Diceros bicornis minor: one gene and its partner. The protein of the gene in region 1 interacts with the protein of each later gene in a biochemical or structural test. Links are inferred from orthologs where the notes say so. Each region holds a gene or a part of one and is shown on either strand. Other genes may lie near its edges.

Evidence for each region.
Region 2: of the proteins of STUB1 (region 1) and IRF1, one has a biochemical effect on the other in vitro, tested with the Homo sapiens proteins (4 studies listed by BioGRID, with this or other methods). The link is inferred for Diceros bicornis minor from reciprocal best matches to the Homo sapiens genes STUB1 and IRF1.

The regions. Positions count from the first base shown.
Region 1 is NC_080765.1:47,639,457-47,646,644, reverse strand, and holds STUB1 (E3 ubiquitin-protein ligase CHIP), read left to right. Parts: upstream 1-4,361; 5' UTR 4,362-4,429; coding exon 4,430-4,588; intron 4,589-5,134; coding exon 5,135-5,333; intron 5,334-5,422; coding exon 5,423-5,588; intron 5,589-5,796; coding exon 5,797-5,884; intron 5,885-6,028; coding exon 6,029-6,085; intron 6,086-6,173; coding exon 6,174-6,491; 3' UTR 6,492-6,687; downstream 6,688-7,188. Other genes in the region: RHBDL1 (rhomboid-related protein 1), read left to right, coding at 222-395, 617-1,065, 1,193-1,478, 1,559-1,619, 1,697-1,968; uncharacterized protein LOC131422050, read right to left, coding at 2,603-2,766, 2,870-2,945, 3,267-3,368, 3,425-3,818, 3,892-4,019; JMJD8 (jmjC domain-containing protein 8), read right to left, coding at 6,806-6,886, 6,972-7,106, 7,182-7,188. UniProt on the Homo sapiens protein: E3 ubiquitin-protein ligase which targets misfolded chaperone substrates towards proteasomal degradation.
Region 2 is NC_080740.1:51,801,807-51,809,355, reverse strand, and holds the start of IRF1 (interferon regulatory factor 1), read left to right. Parts: upstream 1-4,531; 5' UTR 4,532-4,961; intron 4,962-5,178; exon of another isoform or gene 5,179-5,281; intron 5,282-5,340; exon of another isoform or gene 5,341-5,355; intron 5,356-5,367; exon of another isoform or gene 5,368-5,447; intron 5,448-5,984; 5' UTR 5,985-5,989; coding exon 5,990-6,076; intron 6,077-7,376; coding exon 7,377-7,476; intron 7,477-7,549. UniProt on the Homo sapiens protein: Transcriptional regulator which displays a remarkable functional diversity in the regulation of cellular responses.

The DNA.
Region 1 (7,188 bases):
ATGGTCAGGGCAGAAATAAGGTGGGGAGACCTCTGGAGAGCTGGAGAAGGTGGAGGCCTGGGACCTGGGCGCTAGAGCCCTGCAGCTCCTGGGACCACGTGGGCACAGGGGCCTGGCCTGAGGGTGCTCAGAGCCTGTCTCCTCTAGCTGGCCTGGCCCAGCCCTGTGGTCTGGGGGCTGGGCCCACCCTCAGGCCTTGGCTGGCGGTCTCCTCACCCCAGCAGCTGGATCCTGACAACACAGGCTTCATCGGTGCGGACACCTTCACTGGCCTGGTGCACAGCCATGAGCTGCCCCTGGACCCGGCCAAGCTGGACATGCTTGTGGCCCTGGCCCAGAGCAACGAGAGGGGTCAGGTCTGCTACCAGGAGTTGGTGGACCTGGTCAGTGTCACGGTGGGTGTGCAGCAGGGGCGGGGTCCCAGGCCTTGGCTGGCCAAGTGCTGTGCTGGAAGGCCGGGGTTGGGTGGGCAGGCGGCCCCTCCTCCCTGCCTCCCACTGGGGAGGGCTGTGGACGTTGGGCAGGGCCTCAGACCCTGTGAGGAGCTGGGCAGGCCACATGGGCAGGGCGGCTGTGGGTGTAGTACAGTGGCCCACGCTTAGGCCCCGCCCCCCAGATCAGCAGCAAGCGCTCAAGCAGCTTCAAGCACGCCATCACCAATGGACAGCGGGCACTGCCCCGGGACGGGCTGCTGGACGAGCCGGGCCTGGGTGTCTACAAGCGGTTTGTGCGCTACGTGGCCTATGAGATCCTGCCCCGAGAGGTGGACCGCCACTGGTACTTCTACCGGCATCGCAGTTGCCCACCCCCGGTGTTTATGGCCTCGGTCACCCTCGCCCAGGTGGGCCTGCCCACGTGCCACCTGGGAGCCACCCATGTCACTGGCTTGCCTAGCCCTAATACCCGTCTCCCCCAGATTGTCGTGTTCCTGTGCTACGGGGCCCGCCTCAACAAGTGGGTGCTGCAGACCTACCACCCCGAGTACATGAGGAGCCCCCTCGTGTACCACCCCGGCCACCGCGCCCGGGCCTGGCGCTTCCTCACCTACATGTTCATGCACGTCGGGTGAGTGAGGCCCCTCCAGTACCCCTGTGATTGAATCAGGAGGGCTCAGCCCCTTTAGATGAGGCTGTGGGCTGGAGGCCCGACAGCTGACCTCACTCCTCGCACCCGTTTGCCCCCACATGGCCAGGTTGGAGCAGCTGGGGTTCAACGCACTCCTGCAGCTGATGATCGGGGTGCCCCTGGAGATGGTGCACGGCCTGCTCCGCATCAGCCTGCTCTACCTGGCTGGCGTGCTGGCAGGTGAGCAGGCGTGTGTCCCCTGGCCACCTTGTTGGCAGGCCTCTCTCTCACGGCCCCCCTTTGTTCACATAGGCTCCCTGACCGTCTCCATCACTGACATGCGGGCCCCTGTGGTGGGGGGCTCCGGCGGGGTCTATGCCCTGTGCTCAGCACACCTGGCCAACGTCGTCATGGTAAGGGGGCAACCACGGGCAGGGTGTGGGGAGGGGCAAACGAGGCCTGCCTCATGGCCTTTCTGTCTCACACCCCACAGAACTGGGCTGGGATGAGGTGTCCGTACAAGCTGCTGAGGATGGTGCTGGCCCTGGTGTGCAGTGAGTAGGGGGCTGGGGGGACTGGGGGGACTGAGCCTATGGCCAGGGTGCCTCCCACCTGCTGCTTCCCTCTGCAGTGAGCTCCGAGGTGGGCCGGGCCGTGTGGCTGCGCTTCTCCCCGCCACTGCCTGCCTCGGGCCCGCAGCCCAGCTTCATGGCGCACCTGGCGGGCGCTGTGGTGGGAGTCAGCATGGGCCTGACCATCCTGCGCAGCTACGAGGAGCGCCTGCGAGACCAGTGCGGCTGGTGGGTGGTGCTGCTCGCCTATGGCACCTTCCTGCTCTTCGCCATTTTCTGGAACATCTTCGCCTACGACCTGCTAGGCGCCCACATCCCCCCACCGCCGTAACGGGCTTCTGGAGCTACACAGGCCAGGGCGAAGGTGTGTGTGGGCCAGCCACCAGGCGGGCCTGCACATCCGCCCTCCGTGAATGTACGTCTCAAGGCTGCTGCTTCTCCCCTGTGGGGCGGGTGGCCCCTGTGGCCCCAAGTCCAGGCTGAGCCTTACACCAGCCCTGGTGCCCCCTCCCAGGCCTGGGGGTGTAGGACTGTTGGGCTGGGCCTGGTGGTGGAGGTCCCCAAGGGTGGCCCCAGAGGAGACCCTGCCTCCCAGCCTCCCCACCCAGGATTTGCGGTCTGAGCCTTTTTGGAGAATGAATAAATATTTTACACAGCACCAGGTGGCTGTACCAGAGCTCTGGGGGCTGGTCTGGCCTCCCCCCACTTGCTGAGCAGACCGTGAGGGCCCTTCCCTCCATGCAGGCGGCCTGGGCTCCCCCTTGCTCCCTCCACCTGGTATGAGGTGTGTTTGTAGGAGGCAGGAGGTTCTGGGGCAGGGCTGAGGGTCTCACCGTCAGGGGAGAGCTCAGCAAGCATTTACTGAGTGCCTACAGCAGCTGGCTCCTGCTCTGCCAGCTGGCCAACCAGAGACCTGTGGCCTGAGGTTGCGCGGCAGGTGAGCAGGCCCTGGGCCACAGCCACGTTCAGTCAGCCTGGGTCCTGTGCTTCTTGGCTGGCCTAGTGCCCTCAGGGGTGGCTGGGCCAGGGCCGAGGTTGGGCAGCAGGTCGGGGCACAGCTTCTGCCTCACAACCCAGGTCCACAGTGCTGTCTCCACGTGGTGAGGGGTCCACACCCCTGAGGTGCTGCCTAGGGAGGAACAGGAGGAGTCTGGGGACCAGGGGCCCTGGCCTCCCTCCCCTGCTGGACAGCTTTGCACACTGCCCCTTCACTGGGTCCTGGACGTCCTCACCTCTGCTCAGGGCTGTGGCACACTCCCGCCCCCCACCCAGGTACAACATGTAGTGCTTGGAGAGTGTACTGCAGAGCTAGCAGGCCAAGCACTGCGGCCACTGCCTCGTCGGAAATGAATGCTGCCTCCTCGGGGACTCCAGCAGCAAGGACCGCTGTGGATAGGAAGGGCCAGCACTCAGCCTCTGCCACTCTTGGGACAATCTTGGCGTGGGGCTGCCATTCCCAGTGACTGCTGGTGTCATGGACATGACCATCTGTCCTTTTTACAGACAAGGGCGCTACCAGGCCAGGTCCCGCCCGCGACCCTGCTGGGGCGCCCAGCTCTCCCAACTAACCCGAGGCGGTGGCGGGGCCCACGCCGCGGAGGGTGCACAATTCTGTGACAATTCCCTGACCGCTGCCTGCAGGTCCGGCAGCAGGCGGAAGGCGGTGGCCGAGCGCTGCAACACCAGCTCGGGGGCATTGGAGGTCACGAGGCGCGGCCGGAAGCGGCCTCTCTGGGGCCAGGCCAGATTGTGGGTCACGGGTGGTGGTCCTCGCCAGGGACCCCCACCCCCGCCGCGCCCCGGCCCGCGAGGCTCCGCACCACGCCATGAGGACCTGCTGCCACAAGGGAGCCGCGCCCCACGCCGCGGGGACTCGGCCCCCGAGGAAGCCGCGCCCACGCCGCGAGGACCCGCCTCCCGGAGAAGGCCACGCCCACACAGCGAGGACCCGCCTCCTGGGGGAAGCCACGCCCCATACCGCGGGGACCGCCCCCAGGAGGAGCCCAAATCCCGCGCCGCGAGGACGCGCCCATAGGAGGAGGACACGCCCCGCCGAGACCCCGCCCCCCACGTGAGAAGCCCCTCACCACCAGCTTCCACGCTAGCAGCCACTTTAGGTCATCTAGTGTCACGTGCTTCTCTGCGCGGTCCTGGATGGCTGCGGGCAACTCCACTCGATACCTGGGGAAGGACGGTGACGGGGAGTTCGGGCAGCGGGAGTCGCCCGCCCTACCGACCCCTCCCACCGGCCTACCATCGATCCAGGGCTTCCAGCCGCCCCTGGGAGTCCGGGTGGGCCCGCAGCACCTCCCCGTGGCGCGCCAGGATGGCGGTCCAGAGATTCGAGTCCTCACAGCCCCACAACCCGCGGGCGGCTGCCATGTTCGGGCGCCGGGCCGGGGCCTGGGAGAGTCGGGGGCGGGGCCTCGGAGAGTTGGGGGCGGGATCAGGGAGAGTCGGGGCGAGCTTCTGGAAGAACAACCCCTAAACGCGCGTGGCTGAGAGCATCTAGGGCCGCCCTCGACGATCACGCAGACTTCCGACGCCGCGGGTTGCGTCTCCGGGGACGCACTCTGCCGGCCTGCCCCGCCCCCGCAGTGTGTCGGGCGCACGCGCGGCCCCGCCCACCCGCGCGTGTCTGTCCGGCCTGCGGGCCCCGCCCCACGCGGCCGGAAATTCCGGTGGCGGATCGGTGGACCCGGCCCGAGCGCATCGCGGGCTCGGGCTGCGGGCGGGCGGCCGGGCCGGGCGCGGAGCCTGGGAGCGGAGCCCAGGCCGTGCCGCGCGGCGCCATGAAGGGCAAGGAGGAGAAGGAGGGCGGCGCGCGGCTGGGCGCCGGCGGCGGGAGCCCCGAGAAGAGCCCGAGTGCGCAGGAGCTCAAGGAGCAGGGCAACCGGCTCTTCGTGGGCCGCAAGTACCCGGAGGCGGCGGCCTGCTACGGTCGCGCCATCGTGAGTGTGCCCGCGCCGGGGGAGGGGCCGGCGTCCGGGCGGAGAGGGGCGGGGCCGCGGCTTCGGCTCCGAGTCCTCCCGCAAGCCCCTGCCCGGCCGCCCCCGCCGCTCCTTCGGAGGATTTTGGCTCTTCCGGAGGGCGTTTGGGCTTTGAGGACTCAGTGATGATCTTGTTCCAAAGGGGCCAAGGCCGCGGCTCTCCAGCCGGTGCTGGTTGCCGGAGAACTGTGGCGGGTGGGAGCTTCAGGGTGCTTGATGCCCGTCGGGCGGGGGGCCAGGGATCCTTGCCCCTTGAGGACCGCAGGCCGAAAGCTGGGATCTCCCTAAGTCTGGGAAACTTGCGGTTACAAAACCTATTGGAGTCAAGAGGGTGGGCTCAGATAGGCTTCGGGGCCAGCACTCCATCTCCACCAACTCTCAGGACCCAGGGACTTTGAGGCTGAGAAATCTCTAGTGTCTTGATTCCAGCTATGGGCCACAAACTGGGATAGAGGGGGCAGGCTGAGCTCACACCCTCATGCTGGCTGGCCCTGCCTTGGTCCCCAGACCCGGAATCCCCTGGTGGCGGTGTATTACACCAACCGGGCACTCTGCTACCTGAAGATGCAGCAGCACGAGCAGGCCCTGGCCGACTGCCGGCGCGCCCTGGAGCTGGACGGGCAGTCTGTGAAGGCGCACTTCTTCTTGGGGCAGTGCCAGCTGGAGATGGAGAGCTATGATGAGGCCATTGCTAATCTGCAGCGAGGTGGGCCTACAGGCTTGGCTGGTTATGGGGGTGCCTGAGAACAGGGGGGTGGACTGGCCAGAGGGTGACATGAGGCCCCCATTCCCCAGCCTACAACTTGGCCAAAGAGCAGCGGCTCAACTTTGGAGACGACATCCCCAGTGCCCTGCGCATCGCCAAGAAGAAGCGCTGGAACAGCATTGAGGAAAGGCGCATCAACCAGGAGAGCGAGCTGCACTCCTACCTCACGCGGCTCATCACAGCTGAGCGTGAGAGGTAGGCTGTGGTGGTGGCAGGCTCCAGGGCACCCTCCCCAAGTCACCACTCTGAGATCAACTCTGAGTCACAAACACAAGTATTTATTGAAGGCCAACACTGGCAAGCAGGAGACAGGAGATGAGGTCTGAATAAGCCCGAGGTTGGCATGCACTCTGACCTCTCCTGGCCAGACCCATCTCTGACCAGCTCCTTGGTCGACTTCCAGGGAGCTGGAAGAGTGTCAGCGGAGCCACAGGGGTGATGAAGACGATGGTCATCTCCGGACCCAGCAGGCCTGCATCGAGGCCAAGCACGTGAGGGTGCCCTGGCCCACGTGTGGGTCTGTGTGTGCATGCATGCAATGTGAGGGTGCTGCTGGTTCCTGTTAGGTGTGTGTCTGCGCCTGGGGAAGGGAAATGGAGTGTTTACCCCACGCGTAGCTGCTCGCTTCTTCACAGGACAAGTTCTTGGCAGACATGGATGAGCTCTTCTCCCAGGTGGACGAGAAGAGAAAGGTGTGCTGTCTGTTTCCTGGGGCCTGTGGGTAGCCGGAATCAGAGCAGTGTCCCCTTCCTGCTCCCTGACCTGACCTGTGTGTTGCAGAAACGAGACATCCCCGACTACCTTTGTGGCAAAATCAGCTTTGAGCTGATGCGGGAACCCTGCATCACACCCAGCGGCATCACTTACGACCGCAAGGACATCGAGGAGCACCTGCAGGTGAGGGAGGACCAGCGGGTGTTGGGGGCAGGGCCTGGATCCACTGACCACCTTCTGACCCTGTTGTCACTACAGCGCGTGGGCCACTTTGACCCTGTGACCCGGAGCCCCCTGACCCAGGAGCAGCTCATCCCTAACCTGGCCATGAAAGAGGTCATCGATGCATTCATCTCCGAGAACGGCTGGGTGGAGGACTACTGAGGCAGGGCCAGTGCAAGGGCCACTCGCCCCGCTTTGCCCGGTAACCTGGCCCTGGAGGGCCTTGGGGCAGTAGCCCTGGCCCCTGTACAGAGTTCATGTCCCTGAATTCTTGCCCCAGTGTCCCCATGCCACTCTCCGTCAGTTCTGATGCTGGGCCATCAGCCTCCCCTGTCCCCTTTCTGGGCTGGAAACAGCAGGTGAGGGTGGGCTGGGCTGGGCTGGGCTGGGCTGAGGCTGCCGCTGCCACCACTGTCCCTGTAATAAAATATGTGAGCACTATAGGGGCACGTGCTGGTGCGCGATGGGCCCACTGGCTAGCTGAGGAAGGTAGAGATGAAGACACTGGTATCAAGGTTGAGTGTGGCATGCCACCATCGGTCAGGGAAATACAGCACCTGGTGGGGATAGGAGGGGGAACATAGGAGTCAGGTGGGGGCCCTCAGCCCAATACAGCCTGGCCCCCTTCTGCCAGCCACTGACCTCACCAGCTTGGATGGTGCACTCCAGGGGCCGCGCAGATGGTGCCAGGGCTGGGTATGTGTCCCGGAACCAGGCTAGCGTGGTCTTGTTGGGGTGGAACTCTGGTGTCTTCTCAGGGGGATACAGGAACCAGCGCTAAAGGCAGGAACAGCAAGGTCACTGTCCACGTTGTCAGTGAGCCCCAAGCCTCAGCTCCGACCCTGTGCTGACCTTGCGG
Region 2 (7,549 bases), on another chromosome or scaffold:
GCGGATGAGGAGCTGAGGCCTCTTTCCTCCCAACGCAGTGTTTATAAGAAATGAAACTGCGCAGGGCATCAGCGGCAGCCCACACTGACGCCCGCTCCACCTCCGGAGTTCCGGAACAGCCCAGAGCGCTGGAGCAATTCCTCGGCCCACTCTTACAATGCAGGACCCCCTAGTGCTTTCCCAGCCAGCGGCAGCCTCCCACTCTGCGTTTAGGGCTTTTATAACACCACGACGTTTATTCTGCTGTGTCATACAGCATTTTTGCCAGAGCTGTGAGAGGGGAGGGGCTCGTCTCGTGCCCCAGCATATCCCCAGGGCCAAACCTGGAGTTGACCCAGAGCAGGAGTGCGATTCATATTTGTTGAATGAATTAAGAAACGCCTTTCTTTCTCTCCAACTAGGCTCCTTTCAGGCAGGGTGATTAAGCCTGGATTCTGTCTTCAAGCTTTTGAGTGCTTTCGGATGATTTTATGCCTGACTGGTGCTCTGTACTTCACAGTTTAGGACTGCCTGCCTCCCAGGTTTGCTGTGAAAATAGAGATGATGGCTGGGAGGGACTTGGAGCATCTAAGAGAGCCTTCCCTCTGGACCTGGGAGGCTGGATCGCCTGCTGGGGGTTCATCTGCTTTGGAGACTGTGGCCTCTTCTCTGGGTAGCAAGCCCCTGCAGGGGCCCAAGGATGCCCTACTCTCAAAAACCTAGTTAAAGCCTTGCTGGGTCCTGCACTTCAGGACTAACTGGAGCCCACGTAGCGGGTGCAGTGTGTTCTGAGAGCCTAGGGAGGGGGCTGGGGACAAGATTTGGTCCATCAGGGAAGAGGCTCCCACACGGGTGATCTTGCCCCCAGCATCCTGATTGCAGAAATCACCTCAAAGGAGGCTCTGCCAGCCAGTCAGCCTCCTGCCAGGCACCACAGGGCCCCATACCGAGAAACTGCACAATATATTTACCCTCATTGAGTGACAGTATAGATGGGAGGCATCCTGTGAGTGAGACCTTGCTCCAGAGCTAACCCCCAGCTAACTCCAGCTGCAGGTGTGAGGAACCTGCTCAGGTCTCTTGCAGAAAAATTCAGCCTTTGTTCCCCAGAAGGGGGAACATACAAACTGTGTTCAGAGAATGGAAATGCAGTGAAAGGTTCATGCATACTGTTAATACATGTCATTTGACTAATGTTTTACAGTTTAGAAAGGAGTTTGAGGGGCTGGCCCAGTGGTGTAGCCCTTAAGTGTGTGCACTTCGCTTCGACGGCCTGGGGTTCACCAGTTCGGATCGACGGCCTGGGGTTCACCAGTTCGGATCCCGGGCGCGCACCGATGCACTGCTTGTCAAGCCATGCTGTGGTGGCATCCCATATAAAGAGGAGGAAGATGGGCACAGATGTTAGCCCAGGACCAATCTTCCTCAGCAAAAAAAGAGGAGGATTGGCATTGGATGTTAGCTCAGGGCTAATCTTCGTCACAAAAAAAAAAAGAAAGGAGTTTGATAGTCTGTCTGATTTCATCTTCACAACAATTAGGAGAGATGCGCAGAGAGTATCTCTATTTTACAGATGAGAAAACTGAGGCCCAGAGAGGGAGAGTAACTTGCCTAAGGTCACACAGCAAGTAGCAAAAGTACAAAAACCCAGCTTTCAGACTCAAATCCTGTGTTCTCTTTCCAACGCCCTTTAGTTACTGCCAAGGGTAGCAGAGCCTTGGAAGAGAAGTTTGGAATGGGACCCCTAGGACCAGAGCGAGCAATGATTTGAATGTGGGGCTAAGGAGTCTTGGGGAACTCAGAATGCTCCTGGGTGGACCTGAATAGTAGGGAGATCATCAAAGTTAGGGAGATCATCCTAGTGCAGAGGTGCCAGGAGGGGCAGGCTTGATGGGGAGGGAGGCCCAAGAGGAGGCTGTGGCCACAACAATCTGGTCCTGGAACGTGAAGACATGATTTGATGTGAGGAAGGAAGACCCAGAGGATCAGGTGAGGCCAAGAGGGGAGGAAAATGGGAAAGACTTCACCAGGGAGGGAGCTGGAATTAGGAAGAGAGAAAGCTGCTGGGGACAGTGTGGAAAGGGGTGGAAAGACTTCTGCTTGTGTGTGTGTGAATTTGTGGAGAGGGTTGTAGAGGAGTGTCCAGAAGGCAGCTGGAGCTGCGGTTTGGAAGTCACCTGCCCAGAGGGGATGGCTGGAATTACAGACGATGAGTATTTTGAGGCAGAGAGGGGAAAGGGCCCACCGTGAATTACTAAGAAATACCTAGGGAAGATTCTATGTGTTCTGCTTAGTGTCACAGGGAATGTGTGCTACATCTTAGAATGGGATTCATTAAGAGCAGTTACAATAAAAATTTGAGGTGCTTAAATAGGGTTTAGCTTTATTTCGCTGATTTGGCATATAGCACCCCCAATCATGATAAGTGGATTTTTATAGACTTCAAGATAAAATAAGAATCCCTAAAATTAAAAGTAAAAAAAAAAAAAAAAGTCAAAGAACACTTCAAAGATGTAAATGACAATTTCATTGGTAAATCCTAACATTGGGGAATTTTTCCTAAGCAAAAAATTATTGATGTGCACAAAGATTTAGCTACAGAGTGTTGTATTATGAAAAGATGGAAATAACCTAAATGTCCTACAATAGGGGATTAATTGGGTAAATTTTTACTTATCCTTATGATAGAATAATACGTACCCATTACAAATGATATTGCAGAAGTACCTTTCATGACATGGAAAGATGCTCATTATATATACAGATGCACATATAGATGATTATCTGTGAATTAACGTTTTTGTTTTAAAGCACTTTTTACAGTCTCCTCTTGCCTTCATAGGGTCATTTTGGTTAATTTCTCAGACCACATGAGCTGCAAACTTCCTCTCCCTAATCTCATTCTGAATTTTCCATGGCCGTGTCAGATTCTTAGAGACAGGACAAGCATCCATTTGCTGCACAGAGAACAGACTTCACAATTCTGAAGCCACTTGTTTTCTGCTCTTCTTGCTCAGATGGTCTTGGTCTTTGTAGTGGGTTCCCACTCCTATCTGTCACTTAAAGCACTCCACCCCTTCTCCCCCTTCCAGGGCCTCAGCACCTTCCCTTCTCCTTGACACCCAGCTAGGCTCATTCCTCACAGTTCCTCCTGCCTCTGCCCTCTCCCAGCTCCTGCACCCACCACTGTCTGGAGACAGCTCTGACCCATTCCTGTTGGTCTCCTGAGAACCAAGCTTGGCGTTATTCACAGCATCAGATTCTGGGGCACCAGAATTGGATTAACCCATCCATCTCCTCTGTGGGAGGGAGGCAGTAGAGTGACTGACAGGTGGAATGCTGCATCAATGTGTCTATTTATAGACTGCATCATTGCAACTGGGTGCTGCTGTGGAAGGAGAGCTGGGGTTTGGGGAGTGACACAACCAGCCCTGCCTGGAAGAGTGATTTACTTCTGAGTCAGCACCTTTGAGGAGTTGAAGGAAGGAGCCTGCTGGGCCACAGTTATGCATGGAAATGAACACAGCACAGCCTCTAGAAGTACAAGTGGAGCAAGGTCTAGTAAGCACACAAGTTAAGTAGCTGCCCTTCCCAAGTGGCCTGGGGCCTGGGCTCCCCAACCTTTTGGCTAGACCCATGGCCTTGGCCAGCCATAAGCAATGCCCTCATGCTGCCAAGAACCTCTCTGGGCCAAGCCTTGAGGACCCAGAAACAACACCAAGGCTGCCACTGAGGAGCTCCCAGGCAAAGGACATGTGAGGATGTGGAGGTGGCCTAAGGCAGGAGTGCTAGGAGGGACCAAGGCTACCCCACCCCAGCTCAGCAGTCCTTGATTCTCTGAAACAATTCTCCTCTCTTTCCCTAAGGCCAGACGTGGGGCAGTCCCAGGGATGTAGACGGTAAAGGGGGAGAGGTGTCTCCCTGGTCATTATTGTACTCCCAGCAGGGACCTTGCAAACCATGCAGCATCTGCTGCCCAAAAAGCATGGAGCTTTAGAGACATCATCTCTCTCTGTCACTGTAGACCAGCAAGGTAGGGCTATCACTATTTCGTAGTTGAGGAAACTGAGGTCCAGAGGCTGTGCCAGCAGCAGCCAGCCTGGGATTTCCTCTCGTCCGGCAGCCCCAAGCAGCACGCCAGGCAGAGTAGGCTTTCCTTTACTTTCCCAGGGCAGGCGAGTGATCTGGAGGTGTGTCACCCCTCAAAAAGGGGGCAGTGTGAGGGTCGAAATCCTCCCTTCTTGACACCCCATTAACAGGCCTGAGGAACCAGGTTACTTTTCAGGGGTTCCATCTTGGTGTTCACTCTGAAGAGGGCGGCAGGTGCCCGACTGACCCCCTCACCTGCGCTCTGGAGATTGATGTCCCCACCTCCGGAGAGGAGAGTGAAGAGACAGCCACAGGAGCTAGCAGGCTGGGAGAACGCGGAGTGAGGGAAGTAACCGCGGGGCCGGAGGGTGTTCGGCTTTCCAGGACAGCCTTTCTCCCGGGCTAGCTGCTGTGGGGGTGGAGTGGGAGAGGGCGGGGCGGGCCCGCGGACGCCCCGGGGCGGTGGCGCCGGGCCGGAGGGGGTGGGGAGAAGCAGCCGCCCTGTACTTCCCCTTCGCCGCTAGCTCTACAACAGCCTGATTTCTCCGAAATGATGTGGCGGCGCCGGCCAATCGGCGTCCTCGCGGCTCTTTAGAGGCGGGGCCGAGCATGGGTTGGGGGAATCCCGCTAAGTGTTTAGATTTCTCGCCGGCGCCGCTGCCCCGGCAGAGCGCGCCACTCCTTCGTCGAGGCAGGACGTGCGTCCGAGTCGCGCGGAGCAGAGGCCAGCAGGAGCCGTGCCAAGCCCAGGCCAGCCGTGCCCAGCAGCCCCGCGACCCGGGCATCCTCTGCCTTCGCTCCCACCCGGAATCGCGCTCCCCGCGCCGGCATAGCAGCTCCCGCTGCGCCAGGACCGGATCGCGCGCCGCCACCGGATCGCGCCCGCTGCAGAGGTGAGCCGCCTTCGCCGCGGAGGGACCGGTGGCGTCGAACAAAAGGGCGCTGGGCACCAGAAAGTGGGGGCCGAAAACCCCAGGCAGGAGAGTCGCGGGCGCGCGGCGTTGTCTGGGTCCCCGAGCGGTCTCGGGAGGGCGCTGGAGGAGCGGCGAGCGGCAGCGCGGGGAGGGCGGACCGCGGCGTGGACCGCCCACCCGGCAGAGGTTGCAGGCGTGCGGTCGCTTTCTCAGATCTGTATGCGCGAAGCTGCCGGGGGCCTCTAGGTGGCCCGGAGTGTTCGTTGCGCGCATCCACAAGCCGTGCCGGGAACTCCAGTGTACGTCCGCGCGTGGGCGCTCTGTGTTCCCGAAGGCGGCTTTCGGCGGTCCCAGCTCCGCGCCGAGGCCCCAGGTTTCAGGCTATCTATGCAAGCGGCGGGGGCTGGGGCTTGCTGCCCTGGGTGGCTGGAGGACCTGCTGGAGCTGCGGGAGGAGGCGCCACAGGTGTTTCTTGGGCCACTTCGCCGAGGAGGGGAGCCAGGCAGGAAGGGTTTGCGTCCCGGCCTCTGTACTGTGGCTGTCAGGGAGGCGTAGAATAGATGGGGGTCGGGGGAGGATGCCCAGGGTGCAGGGTGACTGCTTGCCCTTCGGGAAAGGTGCACAGCCAGTGGCAACAACTCAAGTAGGGACATTTCTTGGCATCAAGCAAAAGAATCCCCTCCCTTCCCAAAGGATTTGAATTTGGGGAGAAAAGTTCTGGTATTAAGATTCCTGTGTATTTTGCCTCTTTTTCCTGCACATAAATCCTGAAACTATCACTTGCAAGCCTGTCTCCTCCCAAGGCTCTCTAGGAGGGGGTGAGGGAAGGGGCAGAAGTTGGAGGGCAGATTTATTTCAGTGAAAGCCCCTTTCCTCACGATTGTAGTACCTGGGACCTGGCTGAAGGTGGGGAAGGTAACTGAATGACCTGGGGTGGGGCAGGGTAGTGCCTATGGCTGCTCAATAGATTCCAAACAGGAGCCTTCTGTCTTCTCTTTACAGCCAACATGCCCATCACTCGGATGCGCATGAGACCCTGGCTAGAGATGCAGATTAATTCCAACCAAATCCCCGGGCTGATCTGGATTAATAAAGTGAGTGTAACTCTTTGGGTTTGTCTGCCGCTATTTTAACCCATGTTCTTTGGGGGACCAAAGCTTCAGATGCAGTTCGAAAAGGGAAGTAATAGGGAGCAGGCAGCTGTGTTTCCCAGTGACTCCTGCATGCAGGGGGTGTGGGAGGCCCAGCCCTGGGCCCCACTTGCCCAACTTCTGCCTTTCTCCCTCCTCAGGGTATGGACAGGGCACCCACCTGAGGGCACTGACAGTTCCCAGCAGCAGGGCTCTGCCAGCATCTGCAGAGCTGGAGTTCTGGTCTCTTCTGAGGGAGACTCCTACAAACACACATAGCATCCTACAGGGCTCCAGTCAGACTGATGGGAGACAGAGAAGTGGGCACTGCTGGCAGGAAGGTGGCTGGCTCAGCAGGGGACCCAAGAATTAACCTTGCACCATTGCCCAGGCCCAAGAAGCCTCTTGCTGGTGCACAAAGGGCAACACAGACCCTGCAGACTTAATAGTAATAATAGTATTCATAATAATAGCTAATGCTTACTGTATACTCACTAGGAGTGTGGCACCATGCTAAGTATGTTACTTACATTGTGTCATTTAATCCTCAAAATAGCCCTGTGAGGTAGATCCTATTAATATCTCCATTTTCAGATAAGGAAACTGAGGCACTGAGAAGTAGAAAATAAGATCACATAAAAAGTGATAAAGCCAAGATTTGAACCTGATCAGTCTGACTCAAAAATCCATACTGTTAATCACCAGTAACAACAGTGAGACCTTAGTCTTTATATTTGTCACTGTGTTTTGTCATTCCATAGAAGACAAGACAGGGACAAAGAGGAACAGTGACAGTGCCAGGATCACACAGGTAGTCAGCATCCAAGTCTGGCCCAGGGCTCCCTCAGGTGTAGGGCCAGGACCCCCTGTGTAGGAGCCAGTGGTCCCAGGTGTCCTAAGCAGCCCCATCTAATTGATGGAGTTCTCACTTCCATGTTGATGCTGACAAGCCAGAGAGAAGCATCCCAGGGAGCTCTGTATGGGTTCCAGCACATCTGTAACAGACAGAGTGAGGTCTTTGCTGAGCTGATGGTACCACAGCTCATCAGAACCCAGAGCCCCTTCTGAGAGATCCAGAGTGATAGAGTAGCTGGTTTAAGCCAATCTCAGGATGGGTCAACCCAAGCCAGATGTCAGGGTGAAAAGGGGAAGTCAGCCTTTTCCCACACCTGGGGGGCTGGGCAGACTCAGGCCAAAAACCTGTGGTCTCTGAGCTGACACAGCCTTGTGTGTGTGTGTGTGTGTGTGTGTGTGTGCTGTTCAGGAGGAGATGATCTTCCAGATCCCATGGAAGCACGCGGCCAAGCATGGCTGGGACATCAACAAGGACGCCTGTCTGTTCCGGAGCTGGGCCATTCACACAGGTGTGTGCCTTGGACTTCAGCCCAGGAGGGGCCAGGGAAGAGATGAGAGGAGGCACTTCTGTTAATAGAGGGG